Linked DNA regions of Arabidopsis thaliana. The protein of the gene in region 3 purifies or fractionates together with the protein of the main gene of each other region. This does not show direct contact. Each region holds a gene or a part of one and is shown on either strand. Other genes may lie near its edges.

What was found.
Region 1: the proteins of AT5G20890 (region 3) and AtCDC48B fractionate together in Arabidopsis thaliana (co-fractionation; one large-scale study listed by BioGRID). This does not show direct contact.
Region 2: the proteins of AT5G20890 (region 3) and EMB2719 fractionate together in Arabidopsis thaliana (co-fractionation; one large-scale study listed by BioGRID). This does not show direct contact.
Region 4: the proteins of AT5G20890 (region 3) and AT4G08640 fractionate together in Arabidopsis thaliana (co-fractionation; one large-scale study listed by BioGRID). This does not show direct contact.

The regions. Positions count from the first base shown.
Region 1 is NC_003074.8:19,721,273-19,727,743, forward strand, and holds AtCDC48B (ATPase, AAA-type, CDC48 protein), read left to right. Parts: upstream 1-2,077; 5' UTR 2,078-2,143; coding exon 2,144-2,172; intron 2,173-2,269; coding exon 2,270-2,435; intron 2,436-2,663; coding exon 2,664-2,892; intron 2,893-3,012; coding exon 3,013-3,779; intron 3,780-3,866; coding exon 3,867-4,442; intron 4,443-4,536; coding exon 4,537-5,217; 3' UTR 5,218-5,856; downstream 5,857-6,471. Other genes in the region: UMAMIT6 (nodulin MtN21 /EamA-like transporter family protein), read left to right, coding at 57-208, 303-492; AT3G53220 (Thioredoxin superfamily protein), read left to right, coding at 760-894, 1,000-1,025, 1,124-1,343.
Region 2 is NC_003070.9:7,000,530-7,006,287, reverse strand, and holds EMB2719 (PAM domain (PCI/PINT associated module) protein), read left to right. Parts: upstream 1-1,855; 5' UTR 1,856-1,977; intron 1,978-2,112; 5' UTR 2,113-2,133; coding exon 2,134-2,212; intron 2,213-2,305; coding exon 2,306-2,496; intron 2,497-2,687; coding exon 2,688-2,828; intron 2,829-2,917; coding exon 2,918-3,054; intron 3,055-3,155; coding exon 3,156-3,210; intron 3,211-3,298; coding exon 3,299-3,409; intron 3,410-3,776; coding exon 3,777-4,016; intron 4,017-4,366; coding exon 4,367-4,879; 3' UTR 4,880-5,201; downstream 5,202-5,758. Other genes in the region: AT1G20220 (Alba DNA/RNA-binding protein), read left to right, coding at 109-173, 261-335, 453-509, 617-673, 793-1,026, 1,107-1,198. UniProt on the Arabidopsis thaliana protein: Acts as a regulatory subunit of the 26 proteasome which is involved in the ATP-dependent degradation of ubiquitinated proteins.
Region 3 is NC_003076.8:7,086,150-7,092,138, reverse strand, and holds AT5G20890 (TCP-1/cpn60 chaperonin family protein), read left to right. Parts: upstream 1-1,969; 5' UTR 1,970-2,232; coding exon 2,233-2,238; intron 2,239-2,322; coding exon 2,323-2,379; intron 2,380-2,475; coding exon 2,476-2,541; intron 2,542-2,630; coding exon 2,631-2,742; intron 2,743-2,843; coding exon 2,844-2,972; intron 2,973-3,070; coding exon 3,071-3,142; intron 3,143-3,313; coding exon 3,314-3,429; intron 3,430-3,654; coding exon 3,655-3,731; intron 3,732-3,984; coding exon 3,985-4,470; intron 4,471-4,569; coding exon 4,570-4,885; intron 4,886-4,972; coding exon 4,973-5,119; 3' UTR 5,120-5,486; downstream 5,487-5,989. Other genes in the region: JAZ12 (jasmonate-zim-domain protein 12), read right to left, coding at 1-34, 235-292, 384-564, 639-741, 1,132-1,256. UniProt on the Arabidopsis thaliana protein: Molecular chaperone; assists the folding of proteins upon ATP hydrolysis. Known to play a role, in vitro, in the folding of actin and tubulin.
Region 4 is NC_003075.7:5,511,398-5,514,799, forward strand, and holds AT4G08640 (ATP binding protein), read left to right. Parts: upstream 1-1,915; coding exon 1,916-2,050; intron 2,051-2,172; coding exon 2,173-2,306; intron 2,307-2,395; coding exon 2,396-2,529; intron 2,530-2,664; coding exon 2,665-2,777; downstream 2,778-3,402. Other genes in the region: AT4G08630 (fas-binding factor-like protein), read right to left, coding at 15-170, 260-562.

The DNA.
Region 1 (6,471 bases), on a different chromosome or scaffold from region 3:
TTAAGACTCTTTTGAATGGTGTGATTGATTTTGGTGTGAGTTTGAATATATTTCAGGGTTTAGTTGGTTCAGCAATGGTGTTTGCAATACAAATATATGTAGTGGAAAGAGGAGGACCTCTGTTTGTATCAGCGTATTTGCCTCTTCAAACTTTGATTGCTGCTGTTTTAGCTACTTTAGCTCTTGGTGAACACTTTTACCTTGGAGGGTATGTTATCTATATGTTTTGACTCATTATGCGTTTTATTTTCATATCTTATAGTTAAGTTTCTTACACATTTTTTAATGTTTGTTTTGGTCAGATTGATAGGTGCAATACTAATCATGAGTGGACTATACTTAGTTGTGATGGGAAAGAGTTGGGAGAATCAAGCTCTTTGCCAACAACAACAACACATGATTTCTTCAGCAGCATCAGATTTTGGTGATGAAGAAGACTACCATAATAATAAACCAAGATCTCCTATTAGTCAACCATTAATTTCTTCCTAAATTTTGTTAGATCCTATTTATGTCTTAAATTCCTAGTTCCTACTCTCTTCCTCATTAAAATCGAAATGGACCCGGTTGACGAAATAGAGATAAAAATAAATTTGGTTAAAATCGGTTTAGAATTAAATCGATTGGTTTGGGTTTAGTGCCACAGTGGTTAGGTGAGTAGAGTTGTGGTTCGGTTCAGGTTATGATATTATAACCTGGAGGGATCAAAATTGGCGCTTTTAAAAACCAAACAAACAAAAACAGAGAGGAAACAAAAAAATGAGAAAGCAAGAATCAGAGGGAGCGAATCTTGAATTCGAATCCAAATCAAATGACAATGGAAATGTGAAAATCGCACCAAACGACCAAAGTTTCCTCACAATTCTTGACGACATAAAGTCTTCCAAATCTCCGGTTCTTACACACGACAACTTATACATTTGTACACGTTTTTAAGACCGAAGCTGGTTTTTTTTCGTAATCTGACTGTTCTTCTTGTTTTTGCTTTGTTATATTCAGGCTGTTATTAACTATGGAGCTTCTTGGTACACCTTATTCTCTGTTTTTACGATTACGCTTTTCATGCTTATAAAGTGTTCGATGAAATGCCTCAATGAGAACGGTTTTGTTTTGAAACTTTCAGGTGTGGAGTTTGTAGCCAGATTCTTCCTGCATTCCGAAAGCTCAGCAACAGTTTCTCGAAGCTCAAGTTTGTTTATGCAGATATCGACGAGTGCCCTGAAACCACTCGTCACATCCGTTACACACCCACGTTTCAGTTTTACAGAGACGGCGAGAAAGTCGATGAGATGTTTGGAGCTGGTGAACAGAGGCTCCATGATCGTCTTTGGCTTCACTCTTGAATATGTTCATCAAATATTAACTATGAAAATCTGCATTCCTTTTGTGATACTTTAAATGCCAACACAAAAAATACTTGGCTCTTCGACAATAATCCCCTGAATAAGTTTGGACTTTGGTAGATTAATGTTAGGGATAAACTTACAGAAACATCAAAGGTTAAACAGAGGATGGAGCTAACATTCATGATACAACTCTTGACAAATAAATATGAACACCGAGCTCCTCACGGCGGCTCTTTCCCTCTCAAATAATTTGGTTTAACCGGGTATAATGACCTTGAGAAACATTGAAGTCTCTAAATCACACTCTTGCCAATCTCAAAAGCACCAAGCTTCACCTCTAAACGGTTTTGTTTTCCAGGAATGAATTGGGTTAATGTAACTTTCTAATTTGGGTCAGGTTTGAGATTGGACGGTCTTCCACCACAAAAAATATCAACCATTAAAACTTTTATTGTTGCCCATTAAGACCGACCTTCTTTTCGTAATTTTTTTTTTAAAACGTAACTTTGTTGAATTTGTAAAAAAAATCTCTTGTGAAATTATCACAATGTTTATTCAAAACTAAATAAGAACATACTAGAAGCTTTTCTAAATTGGAAGATGTATAAAAAAAAAATAGAAGAAAAGAATAATAATAATGGAAAACAAATACTATAAAATAAACGTTTCTTTGATAACAAGAAACGGATTTGTCTTCTATATAAATAAAACACACACCTGTCTATTTATTTACACTTCTCGAATCTTCTTTTTCTTCTCTGCGAAGCTCTCTCTCTCTCTCTACTCGATTATCAAACATGGCGAATCAAGCTGAATCATCTGATTCGTAAGTACTTGTTAATTACTGAGTAACTCTTTAAGGTTTTGTTAGTCTTCGTGTTGGGGTTTTTCTAATTCTATTTTTTTTTCTCTGAATATCTCAGGAAGGGGACGAAGAAGGATTTTAGCACCGCGATTCTGGAGAAAAAGAAGGCAGCGAATCGTTTGGTTGTGGATGAAGCCATTAACGATGATAACTCCGTCGTTTCTCTTCACCCTGATACCATGGAGAAGCTACAGCTTTTTCGTGGTGATACTATCTTAATCAAGGTTTGATTTTTGAATTTTAAGGCTCTTCTTCTCTTGTTTCCTTTACTGAATTAGGGTTTATAAGGTTTTGTGATTGTTCATTGGTTTGCTGCTAGGGTTTATCAGAAGGGTTGTTTTTTGAATTAGGTCTTTCAATTTTCATGCTTTTGTTTTGGGATAGTTTCTTTGAGTTGTGTGTATTTACATCTTTGTTTTCTCTCTTTTTGTTTTGGGAATCTGTGGTTGCAGGGAAAGAAGAGGAAGGATACTGTGTGTATTGCTTTAGCTGATGAGACATGTGATGAACCAAAAATTAGAATGAACAAGGTTGTTAGGTCTAATCTCAGAGTTAGGCTTGGGGATGTTATTTCTGTTCATCAATGTCCTGATGTCAAGTATGGGAACCGTGTTCACATCTTACCTTTAGATGATACCATTGAAGGAGTAAGTGGCAATATATTTGATGCATACCTTAAACGTAAGCGTTTTCTCTTCCCTGTTTTTGTCATTTAAGTTGTGCTCTGCTTATATGCTTCTTGATGTGTTCTGTTTTTATCACAGTAGTTTAATGTCTGTTTTTTTTATTTTTTATTGCCAGCTTATTTCTTAGAGGCATATCGTCCGGTGAGGAAGGGCGATCTTTTCCTAGTTAGAGGAGGGATGAGAAGTATTGAGTTTAAGGTTATTGAAACTGATCCTGCTGAGTACTGTGTGGTTGCTCCAGATACAGAAATTTTCTGTGAAGGTGAACCGATAAAGAGAGAGGATGAGGAGAGGTTGGATGAAGTTGGGTATGATGATGTTGGTGGTGTCAGGAAACAAATGGCTCAGATTCGTGAACTTGTTGAGCTCCCATTGAGGCATCCACAGCTCTTCAAGTCTATTGGTGTGAAACCTCCCAAAGGAATCTTGCTCTATGGCCCTCCTGGTTCTGGGAAGACACTTATTGCCCGTGCTGTTGCTAATGAGACTGGTGCATTTTTCTTCTGTATCAATGGTCCCGAGATCATGTCGAAGCTAGCTGGTGAGAGTGAAAGTAACCTCAGGAAAGCGTTTGAGGAAGCTGAGAAGAATGCCCCTTCGATCATATTCATTGATGAGATCGATTCGATTGCTCCAAAAAGAGAGAAGACTCACGGAGAAGTTGAAAGACGGATTGTATCCCAGCTCTTGACACTTATGGATGGTCTTAAATCCAGAGCCCATGTGATTGTTATGGGAGCTACCAACCGTCCCAACAGCATTGACCCTGCTTTGAGAAGATTTGGACGTTTTGATAGAGAAATTGATATTGGTGTTCCTGATGAGATTGGTCGTCTTGAAGTTCTCAGGATTCACACCAAGAACATGAAGCTTGCGGAAGATGTAATGTTCTGTTACATATAATTATTTTCTTCTTTTCTTTTACCTTTTTCTATTTGTTTAGATCTGACATTATTTTCTCTTATTCAGGTTGATTTGGAAAGAGTATCTAAAGACACCCATGGGTATGTTGGTGCTGATCTTGCAGCATTATGCACTGAAGCTGCTCTCCAATGCATTAGGGAGAAGATGGATGTAATTGACCTAGATGACGAGGAGATAGATGCTGAAATTCTCAATTCTATGGCTGTCAGTAATGATCATTTCCAGACTGCCCTTGGTAACAGCAATCCTTCAGCTCTACGTGAGACTGTCGTTGAGGTGCCTAATGTGTCTTGGGAGGACATTGGTGGTCTTGAGAATGTCAAGAGGGAGCTCCAAGAGACTGTTCAATATCCAGTGGAGCATCCTGAGAAATTCGAGAAGTTTGGGATGTCACCGTCTAAAGGAGTCCTATTCTATGGCCCCCCTGGTTGTGGAAAGACCCTCTTGGCTAAGGCTATTGCGAACGAGTGTCAAGCCAACTTCATTAGTATCAAGGGTCCTGAGCTCCTCACAATGTGGTTTGGAGAGAGTGAAGCCAATGTGAGAGAGATATTCGACAAGGCACGACAGTCTGCCCCTTGTGTTCTTTTCTTTGATGAGCTGGACTCCATCGCCACTCAGGTATTGTACTTGGTTTCTTAATCTCTCTACTTAGGCAACTTATGCCCTTTACCTTTATCTCAGAAAAATTAATGAACATCTCTTATAATAACAGAGAGGGAACAGTGTTGGAGATGCTGGTGGTGCAGCAGATAGAGTATTGAACCAGCTTCTTACGGAGATGGATGGAATGAATGCTAAGAAGACGGTCTTCATCATCGGAGCTACAAACAGACCAGACATTATTGATCCTGCACTTCTGCGTCCTGGTCGTCTCGATCAGCTCATCTACATTCCTCTTCCTGATGAGGAGTCTCGTTACCAGATCTTTAAGTCTTGCTTGAGGAAATCACCTGTGGCGAAAGATGTTGACCTGAGGGCTCTTGCTAAGTACACCCAAGGCTTCAGTGGTGCGGACATCACAGAGATTTGCCAGCGTTCTTGCAAGTATGCGATCAGAGAAAACATCGAGAAGGATATTGAGAAGGAGAGGAAGAGAGCAGAGTCGCCAGAAGCAATGGAAGAGGATGAGGAGGAGATTGCAGAGATTAAAGCTGGTCACTTTGAGGAATCCATGAAATACGCTAGGAGATCAGTGAGTGATGCAGACATTCGCAAGTATCAGGCTTTTGCTCAGACTCTCCAGCAATCACGTGGGTTTGGAAGCGAGTTCAGGTTTCCAGATGCGCCGACAGGGACTACTGGAGCTTTCCCTGGAGCTGCTGCCACAGTTGGGGGAGTCGACCCGTTTGCCACATCCGGAGGAGCAGCGGATGATGATGATCTCTACAGTTGAAAGGTCTGATCAGACCCTGTGACTACTCTCTTTAGTCTTTAACTTTGTTCTGCTTGAAAAACTTTCGATGGTCTTTGTTGTGTTTTATTTATAAGTCTTTTGTATATAATCGTTGAGACTCTAGAACAATGATGGTGTCATGATGAAATAAATCTAGAGAAATGAGAACACTGCATTCATCCCAAAGGAAACCGGATATACATACACAGATTTTGCGAGTACACAGATTCTACACCCTAACTAGAAAGAATCATCAAACTGATGTAATTGTTGAAATATCTTCTTTATATAAAATAGAAGTGCACAGTTGAGATCTCACGAGTCTCTCTCTCTTTATTTATTCTGGAAGCGGAACCAGACTTGGAACGTAAACAAAGTTAACACAATAGTTAAGTTCATCTTCACCGCTAAAGGGTTGTCCTGTCTCAACTTGTTTTCTGATCTCATCCAGACCACCAATTTGGTACAAGCTGGTTCAAGCATAATCCTCTCCTGCAACTTTATTGCAGCATAAGGCCTGTATCTGTTATGTATCAAGATTATAACAAAAATAAAGACGATGTCAAATTTTGTTCAAAAAGAGTCCAACTAAAAATTCCTCAAATTTTTCACTCATTTACATTGTTTACTTTTGCAAGTTATGAAAATCGCTCTATAAAACCTTTTTGCACTTAGTAGAAGTCCTTTTACAAAAAAAAAAGTTAAAAACTTTGTGTTTTTTTTCTTTCTTTTGGGTGACATTGTGGGTAATTTACTTTTCGAGTTTGTTGTGCTCATCTCTCAAACATATCTCATTTGGACTCTTTTGATTATTGCAAATATTAATTATAAAGTCTTCATGATAAATCTTATGAATTTTGTTATACAGATAGAATCATTTGTGTAACCTGAGAGAAGGTTGAGAATATACACTTCTTTTCTCATTCTTCGTGATTGTATCACATATAACAGTTTTGTAATTGTAAGATTATATACAAACATACACACATAAATACTTTATTTGTTTGTTAATAAAAGATTGATGTTTTGGACTTTTTTAATTAACCATGCGTGATCTCGTGCATCTAGATTCTTTTCCGCAAGATAAGTCATCCTCACAGTAAAGTATGTATATCAGTATATACAGTTATGCACCACTACTACACAAGAAACAAACTTATGATGAGTGAGACGATCGCACAATCACGATCCTTGTCAGAAGGACCATCATAGCTAGCGTCTAATATTGTCATCATATACAGTACGGAACTACAA
Region 2 (5,758 bases), on a different chromosome or scaffold from region 3:
GTTGTTTTGCTATTTCTCGTCTATTCTCTTATTGGGGATTTTGTTGTTTTGTGTCTAGAGAGGTACATTGTCTCCAATGCTAATATATCTTATTAAATAATGCTATAGGTACCAGTGTCCGATTCCTATTGAGATGGTGAAGCCATTGGCTGAGATTGACTACGAAGGGCAAGGTATTTTAGAGTCTCACTCTTAATGACGTTTTTAAGCTCCCTGCCCTGCTGTCTTTTTTAAGTTTTTAAATTATCTCTTTCTTGTAGACGGATCTCCTAGAGGCAGAGGAGGAAGAAGAGGTAGAGGAGGAAGAGGAAGGGGAAGGGGAAGAGGTGGTAGAGGTAGGATTACTTTAGAAATTGTTTATACAGTGTCGTAGTTTCGTTGTAAGCTTTTGCATGTGATTTGTGGATAAGCGTTTGAGTGGACTGTGCTAATTCCTTTTTTCGACTTATCAGGAAATGGACCTGCGAATGTTGAGTATGATGATGGAGGAAGGGGAAGAGGTGGCAGAGGTAGGATATCTTTAGCCAAATCGTATTTGAGTATAGATTTTTGCATATGATTTGTGGATAAGGGTTTGAATGTGTTGTGCTATTTCTTTTTTTGTTTGATTTACCAGGAAACGGATATGTGAACAATGAGTATGATGATGGAGGAAGGGGAAGAGGCGGCAGAGGTAGAATTGCTTTAGAATATTTCTTTCCAAATCTTAGTTTTACCTTTTAACATATTTGCATGTGATCGGCGGACAAGTGTTTGATTGGCTTGTGCTATTTCTTCTTTCGGATTTGCCAGGAAGTGGATATGTGAACAATGAGTATAATGATGGAGGTATGGAGCAGGACCGGTCATATGGCAGAGGACGCGGGCGTGGGAGAGGAGGTGGACGTGGTGGTCGAGGAAGAGGAGGTTACAATGGCCCCCCACCACCTTACTATGAAGCTCAACAAGATGGAGGAGACTATGGATACAACAATGTTGCTCCTCCAGCAGACCATGGATATGATGGTCCTCCGCCTCAGGGACGTGGTACGTTGATGATTTTGTTACACTAATGTTTTCTCATTAAATAATGATGAGTTGTAAATGTTTAAAAATTGTTGGAACAGGACGTGGCCGTGGAAGGGGAGGTCGTGGAAGAGGAGGAGGCCGTGGTGGATTCAACAGATCAAATGGAGCACCTATCCAGGCTGCTGCATGAGCGACCAGGGTCATTGAATGAAGTTGGATCTTTCTTACATTCTCATGTTTTTGTCTCTGTTCTTCAAAGCAACTTGTTGCCGTAGAATAATCTTTCGTTCATGTCGCTTTAGGTTATATATATCCTCATTTATTTTATCATGGATCTTGGATTTTCAAGTTTTTATTCCTTCAAGAGTTTTCTAGTTTTGTCTCTTTTTTGAGTTTTGGATATTTGTTTGACTCCAATTACATTCGTCGGCGTATTGACACTAACAAGTAAACAACCCCCTTTGGCATTGCCTTTTTCCATTGGTTCGTATATCAGTTGATTATATATTCTAACAACATAAAAAGATAACAAGAAAAAATAATGAATAATAAAATTGTAATTCCAAGTTCCAACGTGTTTTGAGACAAAAAGAAATTAACCCAACTTGCGCTGGTTGTGTTTTGGGCTATTCGAAGAAAGCGTACGAAAATAAGTGAGAGAGGTCCAAACAAAACTAGTAACCAAAAAGTTAATCGCCGTTGCCGGGGATCGAACCCGGGCCACCCGCGTGACAGGCGGGAATACTTACCACTATACTACAACGACATTTGTTGCTCAATCGTAATGTAGAAGATATAAATACTAATATGGAAAAAAGCTGTCTTGAACAAAAAGAAATATACTTTTTTTGTTGTGTCCAAAAAAAGGAAAATACTTAGGAAAGAAAAGAGTCTCAGCAGCATCAGCTCGTCCTTAAATCTGATCCATCATCGTCACTTTCTCCCGGCGAATTCCGTTTTATCGATTTAGTAAGCTCTCTGTCTTTATCTCTCCGTCTTTCTCAGTCAACAAATTGGTTGAAACTTCAATCGGTTCCTTGAAATCTCACCGGCTTAGTTGCATACTTCTGCAAAAACCCTAACCTTGTTTTTGTCTTTGTGAAGAGTAACGAGATTTGTGCAAAGATGACTCAGGACGTGGAGATGAAAGATAACAACACCCCTTCTCAATCGATTATCTCTTCTTCTACCTCTACTATGCAGAGTAAATCTCGATCTGAATGCTTTAATTCTCGAACTGTTTTCATAATTGCTAAGTTTCTTCTGGGTTTTGACGCTTTGTTTCTTTGTTTCCCAGATTTGAAGGAGATTGCAGCACTCATCGATACTGGGTCTTACACGAAGGAGGTTCGTCGTATTGCTCGTGCTGTGCGTCTCACTATAGGGCTTAGGCAGAAACTCACCGGCTCTGTGCTCTCTTCCTTCCTGGATTTTGCTTTGGTTCCAGGATCCGAAGCTCACTCTCGCCTCTCTTCCTTTGTTCCTAAGGTATTTGTGGGTTTTACTTCTTCACTTTGATGTTTCAGAATTCTCAACTTGGTTGTTCCTTTTAGCATCTGGCTTTAGGTTGTTTAGATTCGTGTTATGGTTGTTATACTTTCTTTTGATGTTGTGAATGGCAAGTTATCTAACATACAACTGGCTTAGAGACTGAAATATTGGAACTTTTAATGGTTTAGGGTGATGAACATGACATGGAAGTTGATACTGCCTCATCGGCCACACAAGCTGCTCCTTCTAAGCATCTACCTGCAGAGCTCGAGATCTACTGCTACTTCATTGTTCTTCTTTTTCTGATTGATCAGAAGAAGTACAACGAGGTAACTACTGCTGTATCTTTGTGTTTTGTCATAAGTTACTTTTCTGTTGTGATTTTAATTTTAATGAGTTGCTTTTAATCATCTCTTAGGCTAAAGCTTGTTCTTCAGCAAGCATTGCTCGTCTCAAGAACGTCAACCGAAGGACCATTGATGTGATAGCATCAAGACTCTACTTTTACTATTCTTTGAGTTATGAGCAAACCGGTGATCTTGCTGAAATTCGCGGGTTAGTAGCTCAAAGACTGTTTTAGTTTTGTACTTTGTCTTACACCTCATATTAATCAGTAGCTCAATAGTTAATAATCTGGTCATTTTTTCTACCTGCAGTACTCTTCTTGCGTTGCATCATTCTGCAACGCTAAGACACGATGAGCTGGGTCAGGTATGTCTTTGTTTAGCTCATTCAGTCGGCATTCATTATTTTGAAACTGTTACTTGCTTCTTATTCAAATTTATCATGTTGAATGCAGGAAACCCTTCTGAACCTGTTGCTACGTAACTATTTGCATTACAACCTCTATGATCAGGCAGAGAAGCTAAGATCAAAGGCACCTCGCTTTGAGGCTCATTCAAACCAACAGGTAGCTCTTGGCTATTCCTTCATACTCTAAGTTTTCTCGGTTCTCTAGATTCTATATTTGCATGAAAACTCCAATGCCACTTCTGCAATCTTTCCAGAGAATTATTTTTTCTATTCGCTATAGCATTTTCCATCTAGGAGGCTCTTGTGTTTTCTTTTCAATCACTAATTATTTGCCGAACTTACTTGAAGTGTCCATTTTGCCTGTCCTTTTCATACTTCTGACACCACCTCTTACCATTACCATCGATCTACCTTGTGTTTTTCTTTGCTACATATGAATTTTGTTCTTTTTTTAACCCTTCAATTGTTACTGTTTCAAAAGAATAAACAGCAAGATGACTTGTCTAAAACATTATACTTTGCAGTTTTGTAGGTACCTTTTCTATCTCGGGAAGATTCGTACTATTCAGCTCGAATATACGGACGCAAAAGAGAGCCTTCTTCAGGCGGCCAGGAAAGCCCCTATAGCAGCTTTGGGCTTCAGGATCCAATGCAATAAATGGGCAATTCTGGTTCGTCTACTGCTGGGTGAGATACCAGAGCGTTCTATCTTCACTCAAAAGGGTATGGAGAAGGCCCTCAGACCCTACTTCGAGCTAACAAATGTGAGTCCACTTTCATAATCTTGCTGCTGTGACATGTATTCATTAATTTATGAGCGGATAACTAAACTGGTATTAGTATGTGGTCACTTGTGATCTTGCTACTTCACTTCTGATTTTAAACCGGTTCCTACTTTTCACTTACTGGCCTATACACCTCTTCTGTTAAAATCTCTCTGTGGTCACTTGAAACACAATTTTGTTGCTGCTGTTGTTTTCTGCTCCTTCGAATTATATTGAACATGAATTTCTGGCTGTTTACTGTTGCTTTTTAGAGATATATGATGCAACTGGATAGTTGATACTGATTTTGATCTGAGGCTTACTATTAAAGCTCTGTTTTGATTTTACAGGCGGTTAGGATTGGGGACTTGGAGTTGTTTAGGACAGTCCAGGAGAAGTTCTTGGACACATTTGCTCAAGACAGAACGCACAATCTCATCGTGCGACTCCGCCACAATGTCATCAGGACTGGACTGCGGAACATAAGTATCTCCTACTCAAGAATCTCTTTACCCGATGTTGCCAAAAAGCTGAGGCTCAACTCTGAAAACCCTGTGGCTGATGCGGAAAGCATCGTGGCAAAGGCCATACGCGACGGAGCTATTGATGCTACAATCGATCACAAAAACGGATGCATGGTCTCCAAAGAAACTGGGGACATCTACTCGACGAATGAGCCACAAACTGCGTTCAACTCAAGAATTGCTTTCTGCCTCAACATGCATAACGAAGCTGTCAGAGCATTGAGGTTTCCTCCTAACACTCACAAGGAGAAAGAAAGCGATGAGAAGAGGAGAGAGAGGAAGCAACAGGAAGAAGAGCTTGCTAAGCATATGGCTGAGGAAGACGATGATGATTTTTAGACAAAGGTCATCTATTTCTTATAAGAGTTGACTCTCCATCTGTCTCACTTTTTTTATGTTCACAAGTTTACTTGGTACTCTTCTCATCGTCTCTAAGTGTTTCTTTATTGAGGATTTTTATCCTCAGGAACCTTTTTATTACTCTGGTTTCACTTTAGGAAAAGATATTTATCTTGTTGGTTTCAGAAGATCAAATTCAACTTCGTTTAATTGTGTTTGGGAGATTTTCGCATTTTAAGAATTGAACACTTGTAGTTATAGCTAGCTGTATTAGGTGGGTCATTATTAGAAATTGACCATGTGAAATGCTATCATCTCCAGGCGATGCATACCATTAAAATCCACATTCATAATTTACATTAAATGATAGATAAGCAGTCATAAATATCTAAAGAATGAAAACAGGACATGTGTATTGACCATTATGTGTATTGATACATTAGTCTATCTCTGCCAAACTAGGTCTCATTTTCTTGAATAAAACAATCTCATGTTATGCTTTTAATTATAGGTGTTTCTGGTTCGATTCATTAACTTCTTAATAATGACAAAAATCTGTAGAATAATACCCGGGCTCTTTGATAGCTACAACTGCCAACTATTTAATCCATACAATCAAAATGTAATTTTCATAATTGTAGATTTGTAATGGGTCAATATATTCTTACACTCTAATCATATCCAAACAAGCTCCTCAATTCCTTAATCTTGTTGTATCCAGTATCCATATTTTGTTTTCTTACTGCGGAAGTTACTTGGTAGTGTAGTCTGGATTTCGGATTGCAGACTTTGCAGTCCACGATTTTTCATATGTTGGTGACAACGAACAAGTGTTAAGTTGACGGAAGTGTTCGTAACAAACGACGTCGTGACGGTGAT
Region 3 (5,989 bases):
GTCTGAAGTAGGGTAAGGGTTTTTGTTGACCAATCTGCAGATAAAAAAAAGTGAATGTTATTGTTAGATGCAATATCAAGGTTAAACATTATGATCAATCTGTCTTTACAAGTCTCTCACAGGTACATTAACAAGCTCTGTATTAGTAATCAATCAAAAACTGAATAAAATAGATCAGATTTGAATTTCCATTGAAATGGAGAAGGATGAAGTGTAATTTTAAAGGCTGCATACCTGTCCCGTCTTTTCTCGAGGAATCGTTGAAGCGAATGCCTCCTTGCAATAGGTAGATCTGTTACGGCAAACATAATTGTAAGAAACTAATGAGAGTATCCATTTTCAAGGTTTGAAGATTACTATAACCAGTTGAATCGAATACTTACCAGCCGTGGATCTGCAAAACGAGATTGGCTGAATAGGAAATGGCTGTGCAGCTGGTGATGCCACATTAGATGTGCTTGAGAAAGAAGGAGCTCTGTTCAGTGCTGGCGATGAGACAGGACTGATGCTTGTAGAATTCTTTGTCTCCATTGCTTTAGCAGCAATACGAAGGATTTCTTGAACCTATAGGCATAGATCACAGTGAGAACAGAAATTCTGAAGTTTTTCTGACAACAACAAAGCTCTAATGGACCAACCTTTTCTGATGGAAGTCCATCAAACACAGTAACACTTCCACCAAAGAAAATAGTAAGTTGATTTGGAGGAACCGTTGGCTCAGCGGTTTGAATCTCCGTGGACCTTCAATAGCAGAAGATCTATTAAACTTGTGACCGACACTATAAAGATGGACTTATTGATGCAACATTAAGAAAACTCTCCACATATGAATCCAGTCTCTCCAATTTCACATGTTAACGGTGAAGTTCTATTAATCAAATTCACATGAAAACTTATGTATGCATTAAAGGACTTTGAAAAACACAAGTTTGTTAAGAATCCAATTGTTCCAGCCAAAAAACAAATTGGTTCCATTGAGAAATATGACTTTCCCTAAATAGAAACTAAAGTAACCAGATCGAAATGCTGATCTTCCTTATCAGAAACAAGATACAATTTTAAGTACTAAACTCAAAGCAAAGAGAGAAACAGATAAAAACATGTGAAATCAACAGTAAACACAGCTCATACCTAACTTCGTTAATCGATTTCTCAACAGATCCGGTACCGCCGATCTCAGCCGCGCCGCCGTCACCGTCGGCAACACCACATCCACCTTCAACGGAAGCGCGTGGCTCATCTTTCACCTTAGTCATGGCTTGTCTCTCAAAATTTGTAGATCTGTCTTTTTCCGATGAGAATTTTGATACTTCTCTCCCTTAGAGTACTTTTGTTTCGCTTCGTCTCTACGTCGTTCAGACCGGGAACCTCCGAGATTTATCCTTCTCAGAAGCTCCTGTAATTTGACACCTGGCGATAGATATTGATTTTTATTGTTTGACTTTTGGTGCTACGACAGTAAAAGACAACAAGAGGGTAATTAGAAACGTGCTCGAATATGATACGGTGTCGTTGGCCTTCTATGTGGGACATGCTTTCTCATTTCGGTTATCCGGAACTCCAAACGTGTATAATTTATAAGTGGCTGAGACGTTAAACTAATTGAGTTTGCTGGACCTTGATTCATTGGGCTCTTAAAGTACTGTTGGGCTTAGTCGTCTTAAAATGACTTCTAAAATGGACCTTGACTGCTTACATTTATAATGTTTCTCTTTCTATTTTATAAGCCTCTTTACATTTATAGTTTTTTTTAGTAACAATATTCGCATACAAATCACGAATTAATTTATTTCTGTTTTTGTATTCGACCGCTAAATCATCACCAAATTCAAATTTGTATATGGAACATTTTTTTTTTTCCTCTATATAATCAAACAAAATGCAAAATTGTCGAAACTATAAAATTTACTTCTTAATGTAACTTATAACTTTTTGGTTAAGGGTTAATCTAAACTTTTTAGTTTTTACTGAAGGGCGCATAAGAAATCTGGGAAATACGAGGGTAGTTTGGTCTTTACGAGTTTCATTTAGGGTTCCGAAAGATCTGGGTTTTGGCTCTCTCCTCTCATTTTCTACTCTTCTTCAAAAGCACACTCAATATTTCGAGATCCTCTCGGCTTGTTCGTTCTTCGTGAACGATCCCATCTATTGTTTCTCGCTAGTCTCAGATTCGACTAACTTGGATATCTCCGATACTGAAGAAGCCTCCTTCTTCTTTTTCCGCTCTTCCCGATGCCGGTAATGTTCCTCCGTCGTCTCTTTCAATCCTTTTGCTTTTCCCCAGTGCTCTCCGTTAACTGAACTTAGCTATTTCGTATTTAGATCGATAAGATCTTCAAAGATGATGCTAGTGAAGAGAAGGGAGAACGTGCGAGGATGGTGAGTCTTTTGAATCGATTAGGATTTAGGGTTTTTCAGATTCACTCTTCTACTGTTTAAATCTGATTTTCTTTTCTTTTGTTGTTGCTCTTTTAGGCATCATTTGTTGGTGCAATGGCTATCAGTGATCTGGTTAAGTCTACTTTAGGGCCAAAGGGCATGGTAATTTCCGATCTCTGAATATTTAGAAAGCTACAAACTTTCAATTTGGTTCTATTGATTATTGTTGAATCCTTTTTATTATTGTTTAGGATAAAATCTTGCAATCTACTGGTAGAGGTCATGCGGTCACTGTTACTAACGATGGTGCTACTATTCTCAAGTCACTTCACATAGACAACCCTGCAGCTAAAGTTCTTGTTGGTATGTAATTTCCCTGCGACATTCTGGCATGAAGTTTTCACATTCGTTTTTTCTTAGTTGGGTTTTCTCTCACAGTTCGTTGTATCTGGTTTGTTCTTCAGACATCTCGAAAGTTCAAGATGATGAGGTTGGTGATGGAACTACCTCTGTTGTTGTCTTGGCCGGCGAGCTTCTGAGGGAAGCAGAAAAGCTTGTGGCTTCTAAGATTCACCCTATGACCATCATAGCAGGTACACTTTTGGAGCTTTAAGTGTTAAGATGTCAACTTTGTATCAGCTTCTCTCACTATGGCAATGATTTCTAATTTTTTCGTTTTCTGGTTTCTTAGGTTACAGAATGGCTTCGGAATGTGCTCGTAATGCTTTACTGAAAAGAGTCATTGATAACAAGGACAATGCAGGTAATCATTATAGAGATGGTTAAACCTTGTTATGCTGACATATTTAAGTATAGCATTTTCTTGTTTGTGTGATTACTTCGACTGTTGGGTTCAAGCGGTGATTTCCTTTCAGTTGAATACAGAACGGAAATCACACTGTTATTTTACAGCATTGTATTTTTGTCAATGCAGAGAAGTTTAGGTCAGACTTGTTGAAGATTGCGATGACTACTTTATGTTCCAAAATTCTCTCACAGGACAAGGAACATTTTGCAGAAATGGCCGTGGATGCTGTTTTCAGGCTAAAGGTTCCATTTCTTCCTCCTTTTGAAACTGATTCAGCAATGTCATGTGTTCCTTCCTTCTTTTTCTCTTGATTTATGTGTTATCTCATGAAAGAAGATCTTCCTTTGACGAAATGTCATGAAATTAGGCTATTATCATTTCACCATTAGTCTTTCCCATAGTTGCATCGTTTCGTTTTGGATTGTTATATGATTTTTTTCTGACATTCTGCTTTTATCGTTCAACAGGGAAGCACAAACTTGGAAGCTATTCAGATCATCAAAAAACCTGGAGGGTCTCTGAAGGATTCGTTTTTGGATGAAGGGTAAGACAACACTTTGTGCCTTTGGCGTCAGTTCAAATTCAGTTTTCTGAGCTATTGATCTTTCTTTAGTATTCATCTGTTCATGGTAACTCTGTCGTGTTTCTTTTCTTCTTCATAGCTTACGCACCTTAATTTCATTTATAGTGTTATTTTGGAATGTTGATAGTCATCATGTCATCTTGTTGTGTTGTGTTTCTTCTTCTATCGAGTAATATGGTCTCATGTCACCTCAACTTAAAATCTATGCCTGTAGGTTTATTCTTGACAAGAAAATAGGAATTGGGCAGCCTAAGCGCATAGAGAATGCAAATATCTTAGTAGCTAATACTGCTATGGATACCGATAAAGTGAAGATTTACGGTGCACGTGTCCGTGTGGATTCCATGACCAAGGTTGCTGAGATTGAAGGGGCTGAGAAGGAAAAAATGAAAGACAAGGTGAAGAAGATCATAGGCCACGGAATCAACTGCTTTGTTAACAGGCAGTTGATCTACAATTTCCCTGAGGAACTCTTTGCTGATGCTGGTATACTTGCTATTGAGCATGCTGACTTTGAGGGAATAGAGCGTCTTGGTTTGGTTACTGGTGGTGAAATTGCTTCGACCTTTGACAACCCAGAGTCTGTTAAGCTTGGGCATTGCAAGCTTATAGAAGAAATCATGATTGGTGAAGACAAGTTGATTCATTTCTCTGGTTGTGAAATGGGCCAGGCTTGTTCAATTGTCCTAAGAGGGGCCAGGTATCCATTTTCACTCCCATTACTTGAAAGACTTCGTCTAAACTTTATTCTGTTTCTAATTCACTAATCAATTTTTGTATGGGTTCTTTTTTCTTGCAGTCACCATGTCCTAGATGAGGCTGAAAGATCACTCCATGATGCCTTATGTGTACTCTCTCAAACAGTGAATGATACTAGAGTTTTGCTTGGAGGTGGATGGCCAGAGATGGTGATGGCAAAGGAAGTAGATGAGCTTGCAAGGAAAACTGCTGGCAAAAAATCTCATGCCATTGAAGCTTTCTCACGTGCTCTAGTTGCTATACCGACAACAATCGCTGACAACGCTGGTTTAGACAGTGCCGAATTGGTTGCTCAGCTTCGTGCAGAGCACCACACTGAAGGGTGTAACGCTGGGATCGACGTCATCACTGGAGCTGTAAGTAAACTTTATAAACATTAGGATTCGCCATTGAATGTGCAAGGCTAGACTTGAATTGTGATGATGATGATTGATTGTTTACAGGTAGGAGATATGGAAGAGAGAGGAATCTATGAAGCATTCAAAGTGAAGCAAGCGGTTCTGCTTTCAGCCACAGAAGCATCTGAGATGATATTGCGAGTGGATGAAATCATTACATGTGCTCCTAGGAGGAGAGAAGACAGGATGTGAAAAACTCAACACAAACACATGAACGTGGTGGGAGCCTAGAGATTCCATGATTGTGTTTTCGATTTGGATCAGAATACAACTTTTCTAATATGTTTAATGTTTTGCTCCTCCTTAGAACTCATCTTTTTGTTTTGTTTCCTTTTAATCTTGTTTTGAGTTTGAATTTAGACGTTTGAAAAAAGTGTTAGCTCCAAAGTTTTTAATTTGTTTGGTTGTGACGTTGTGTCTTCTGTTTCTACCTGCATCCCATTTTGGCATTTTCACTGAGATGGTTCTGATATAATAGGGATGTGTGGAAAAGAAAAACGAAGTACCAAAACGTAAGTTATTTGGATACCAAAGGAAAACTTGAAGGATCCCATTTCTGAAAAAATCGTAGGCCATCTTATATATAAATAAATATCTATAAGGTATATCATTCATCACCTACAACGATGAGGTAGTTTTGCGTTGTAAAGGTTTGGTCAACCGACCAAACCACATTATAAAGCAGAGCAGATCAAAACATGGGTCCTTGCAATCGCAAACTTTAATTATAGCGACCCTTTATCAATCGTCTTACCAGAAAAAATATGTTTGTTTTTCGATTTTGTTGTTTTATATATGATTTGATTTGAATTCATGGTTTCATATATTTCAACTTCTTTTACCAAACAGTTAAAAGTCCCACAAAAAAAGTGCACCAGTTTATCAAGAAATTTTAATGGAAATGCATAAACTATACATTTTCAGAAAATTATAATAAAACAAATAATATTGAGCCGACATGAATTCATAGTCTAGACTCTAGGGACAAGGTTCGATAGATTGGTTGACATGTCATCCTAGGTTTAAATTTGGGCTTCCAAAGGTGTTCGATTTTCAAGAATT
Region 4 (3,402 bases), on a different chromosome or scaffold from region 3:
AAAACTAGACTGACCATCACAGGAGACTGAGGTCTCATTGCTCTTCCACCAGGAAGTCCAATACTTGGTCTACTGCTCGTTACATCCACTGAAAAATCATCATCCTCATTGTCCTCATCAACTAACTGTGGAGTTGCCATCTGTTGACGCCTTGCCATAGGATTCCTAATCTGTCAGTCCAGAAAACACTATCACATAAAATCCCTACATTGCAAAACCCTCATTACAGTGAAAAAGTGAGTCTGTTAATTTTAATTACCACAGGAGAGCGAGAAGGATGAGATCTTCCAGCTGCGAGTCCAATGCTCCCTGTTCCGATAGCATTATAGTCAAAGGAAAGGTCTTCATCACTATCTTCCTCGTCCCCTGTTTGATTTGACATCACAGCCGCAAGTCTCTGAGCAGCTGCTTTTGTCTGAGCTTTCTTAGCATTCGAAGCTGGCCCAGCATTTGATCCTGAACGTGTATGACGATGCATTAGAGGAGACGTCATCATAGGCGAAGATGGTGTTCCTGGTTCCGTACTCTTATTCCTAACATGAATAGGTCTCGTGTTTCTCATCGTCAACTACAAAAATTAAGCACATTGATTTTCATCATCACATTCACATCAATGGCAGTTTGATTGGAACTAAAAATTCCACACATTGAATTAAAAAAATAGTTACCAAATTTGTCAAAATTTTGGAAATCACAGAAAAGTGAAATCCAGAAAAATGGAAAAAGAATTAAATGCGTGAATTAAACAGAACCTTACAAAATTAGATTCAACAGAAATCTCAAAGAATGTTTCAAAAGAAAAAGCAATGAATAAATTTGCCATTTATGGCAGCACATATTTCTCTCTCTGACTGATCTTCGGTCATTTAGCCAGAAATTGCGAGTGGCTTTCAACGGTCGGATTGAGAACAGTTTCTTCTTTAATTATTTATACTTTCATCCCCAATAATTTATTATTGTTATCGATAGTACCTAAATTTATTTATTTTATAGTTTTCATCCCACGATTGTGTAATAATTATCCAAAGTACCCTTTTCCAATTATAATAGCATTATCATCTTTTTGTTTATGGTTTAGGTACAGTTTTTAAAGTTTTCTCACGGTTTGTAAAATAGAAAAAGGAAAATCAAGTAACTAAGAGATATATTATTTGATTTGATAGTTAGCTCGTAATTGTTTCGTCTACCACAACGGCATATAGAAATTTATATTTCTAGTTATGACTTATGATCAGTGATTATAGCATATGTTGTATGATAAAAAATATTTTTCATATAGTTTTTATTTCTTATTAAATTATTAATTACTTATTAGGCAATACATATTTTTTCATTTATTACTTGATATCTCTAACTTTTGCTCTCTTTGTAATACGTAAGTGTAACTTATCTCTGTGTTGTTTTTATGCTTGGCAACATCAATCCTTAATAAGATAGATGAGCTTTTTATCATATCCGAAATAGCCTCTAAGCAGCAGAAAGATGAAAGAGATGATTTAGCCATTCCTTTTGCTAGATCAATTCTCAACCATAAAGATTCTTTGAAAGAGATGAGACTGATAACATTTCGGGATATACAAAATCCTTGGAAAAGGTGAATGATGCGTCCTTATTACTATTTATTATTTCTAGAGTTAAAACATAAATATCATATTTGTTTTTTTGTTCGGTAGGCTCTTGAGATACTTCAAGAACAAGTTAAGATATCTGAGAGACTATGGTTGTGCAAGAGACTTTTCTTTCCCGAATGAGGATGATAACTAGCAAGCAGTTTAACCAAAAAAGTTTAAATTCTTTAGTACTTGAGGTATTTTATTCATGTAAGATTTTTTTTATTATTTCTCATTTCTTCAGTGTTATTGCAATAGAATGGTTCATCTGTTTACAGGTATGCTCTTAAGTCCTAACGAATGCAATGACCATGAACATTGATGATGTCCATGTTGCCAAGATATTGGGAGTAGACTCTCGCAAATCTTGCGTTGTCTGTGGTATCGTCTTTAAAAGTGACGATGTAGGTAACATTAGGCATCCTTTGAAAAATGCAAAGGTGAGACCAGGTTGAACAAATCTTGCATAACATGGCATCCTTTGTAACTGTCTTTCTCAAGGATGGTTGTGTTTTTAATTGTTGACTATTTTTCTCCTTTATTTTGGGTTCTAGTCTTCTAGGTACATAACTTTGGAAAGTCAAAGGAAGCCATGCTTGAGACTTTGGTTAAAGATATTGCTTTTTCCAATGTAAAAGTTATTGTTAGTCGGTCATCAATTTGTGAAATGACACTACGTTTCTGCAAAATTTACAAGTAAGTAATCTCTAACATTTGAACCTACTTTGAATCATTTTTTCTGAACCTTTTGATAAATACAGTGTTGGCAATACCATTTTTTTTAGGATAATGGTTCTACAGATTTCTTCTGACATTGATATTAACAGTTTATGTTCAATAGTTGGTGCAATTGATTCATCTCAGCATTTCCAACCTCATCATCTTGGATACATGGATTCTACATCATTATCAGAGATTGGTAATTCCTCAACAATCACTTTGTGTGGAACGAAATGGAAAGTCTTAACCAAACAACAAAGCTACATTACTCATGGAATCAATACATACAATTTAATACTTGTATATTTACTGAATTAGTTATTCTTGTCTGTAGCCAAGAGAGCTGTAAAGAAGGCAGAGAGAGATGCAGAGAGGGCTGAGAGAGCCTCTCAGAAGAAAGCAGAGAAGTTTAAGAGTAAGCTCCAGGCTGAGAAAAAGAAGGATTGAAACTAGATCAGATAATTGATGTGTTTCTTTTTATCATGTAATGAATGACTTAGAGTAATGTAGAGATTATTGTTCTTAAAAGGTTTGCGGGAGCTGTCTTCACTAAAGGTAAAAAAATCTTAACATGTGAACTCTTTTTGTCGACTCTATCCTTTTTTAGAAGCAGAGGTCTGTTATTAGATGATTATTTAAGAGACATTTTTGAAGTATTTGCTCTGTATAAAGGATCATGAGGCATTTTTTTGTCATGTCTCAAAAATAGACGGAATACATTATCAAAGTTTATATATTTATAGATTATAATGTGTAAGAAAGCAATGTACAACCATGTCTAACGCATAAGCCCCAATAACGTAAAAGCCAGCACCTCTTCAGAACAATCTCTTCCTAAAGAGAGCTCCAGATGAGAAACTATCGATTTAAAAAATACACTAGATGGAAACAAAAAGTATGAACCTTTAAAAATACTCCTCTCGAGTCAATATCAATCTATTAGTCACGGTCTTAAGAGAGTTAAGCTCGAATTCAACTTTATAAAGGTGCTCTAACGAAGATGTTGCCTCCTCCCTAGCAATCTAAAACGATTCCAAGATCTAAGGTGTTAGTACAAATACCCGTAAGAACA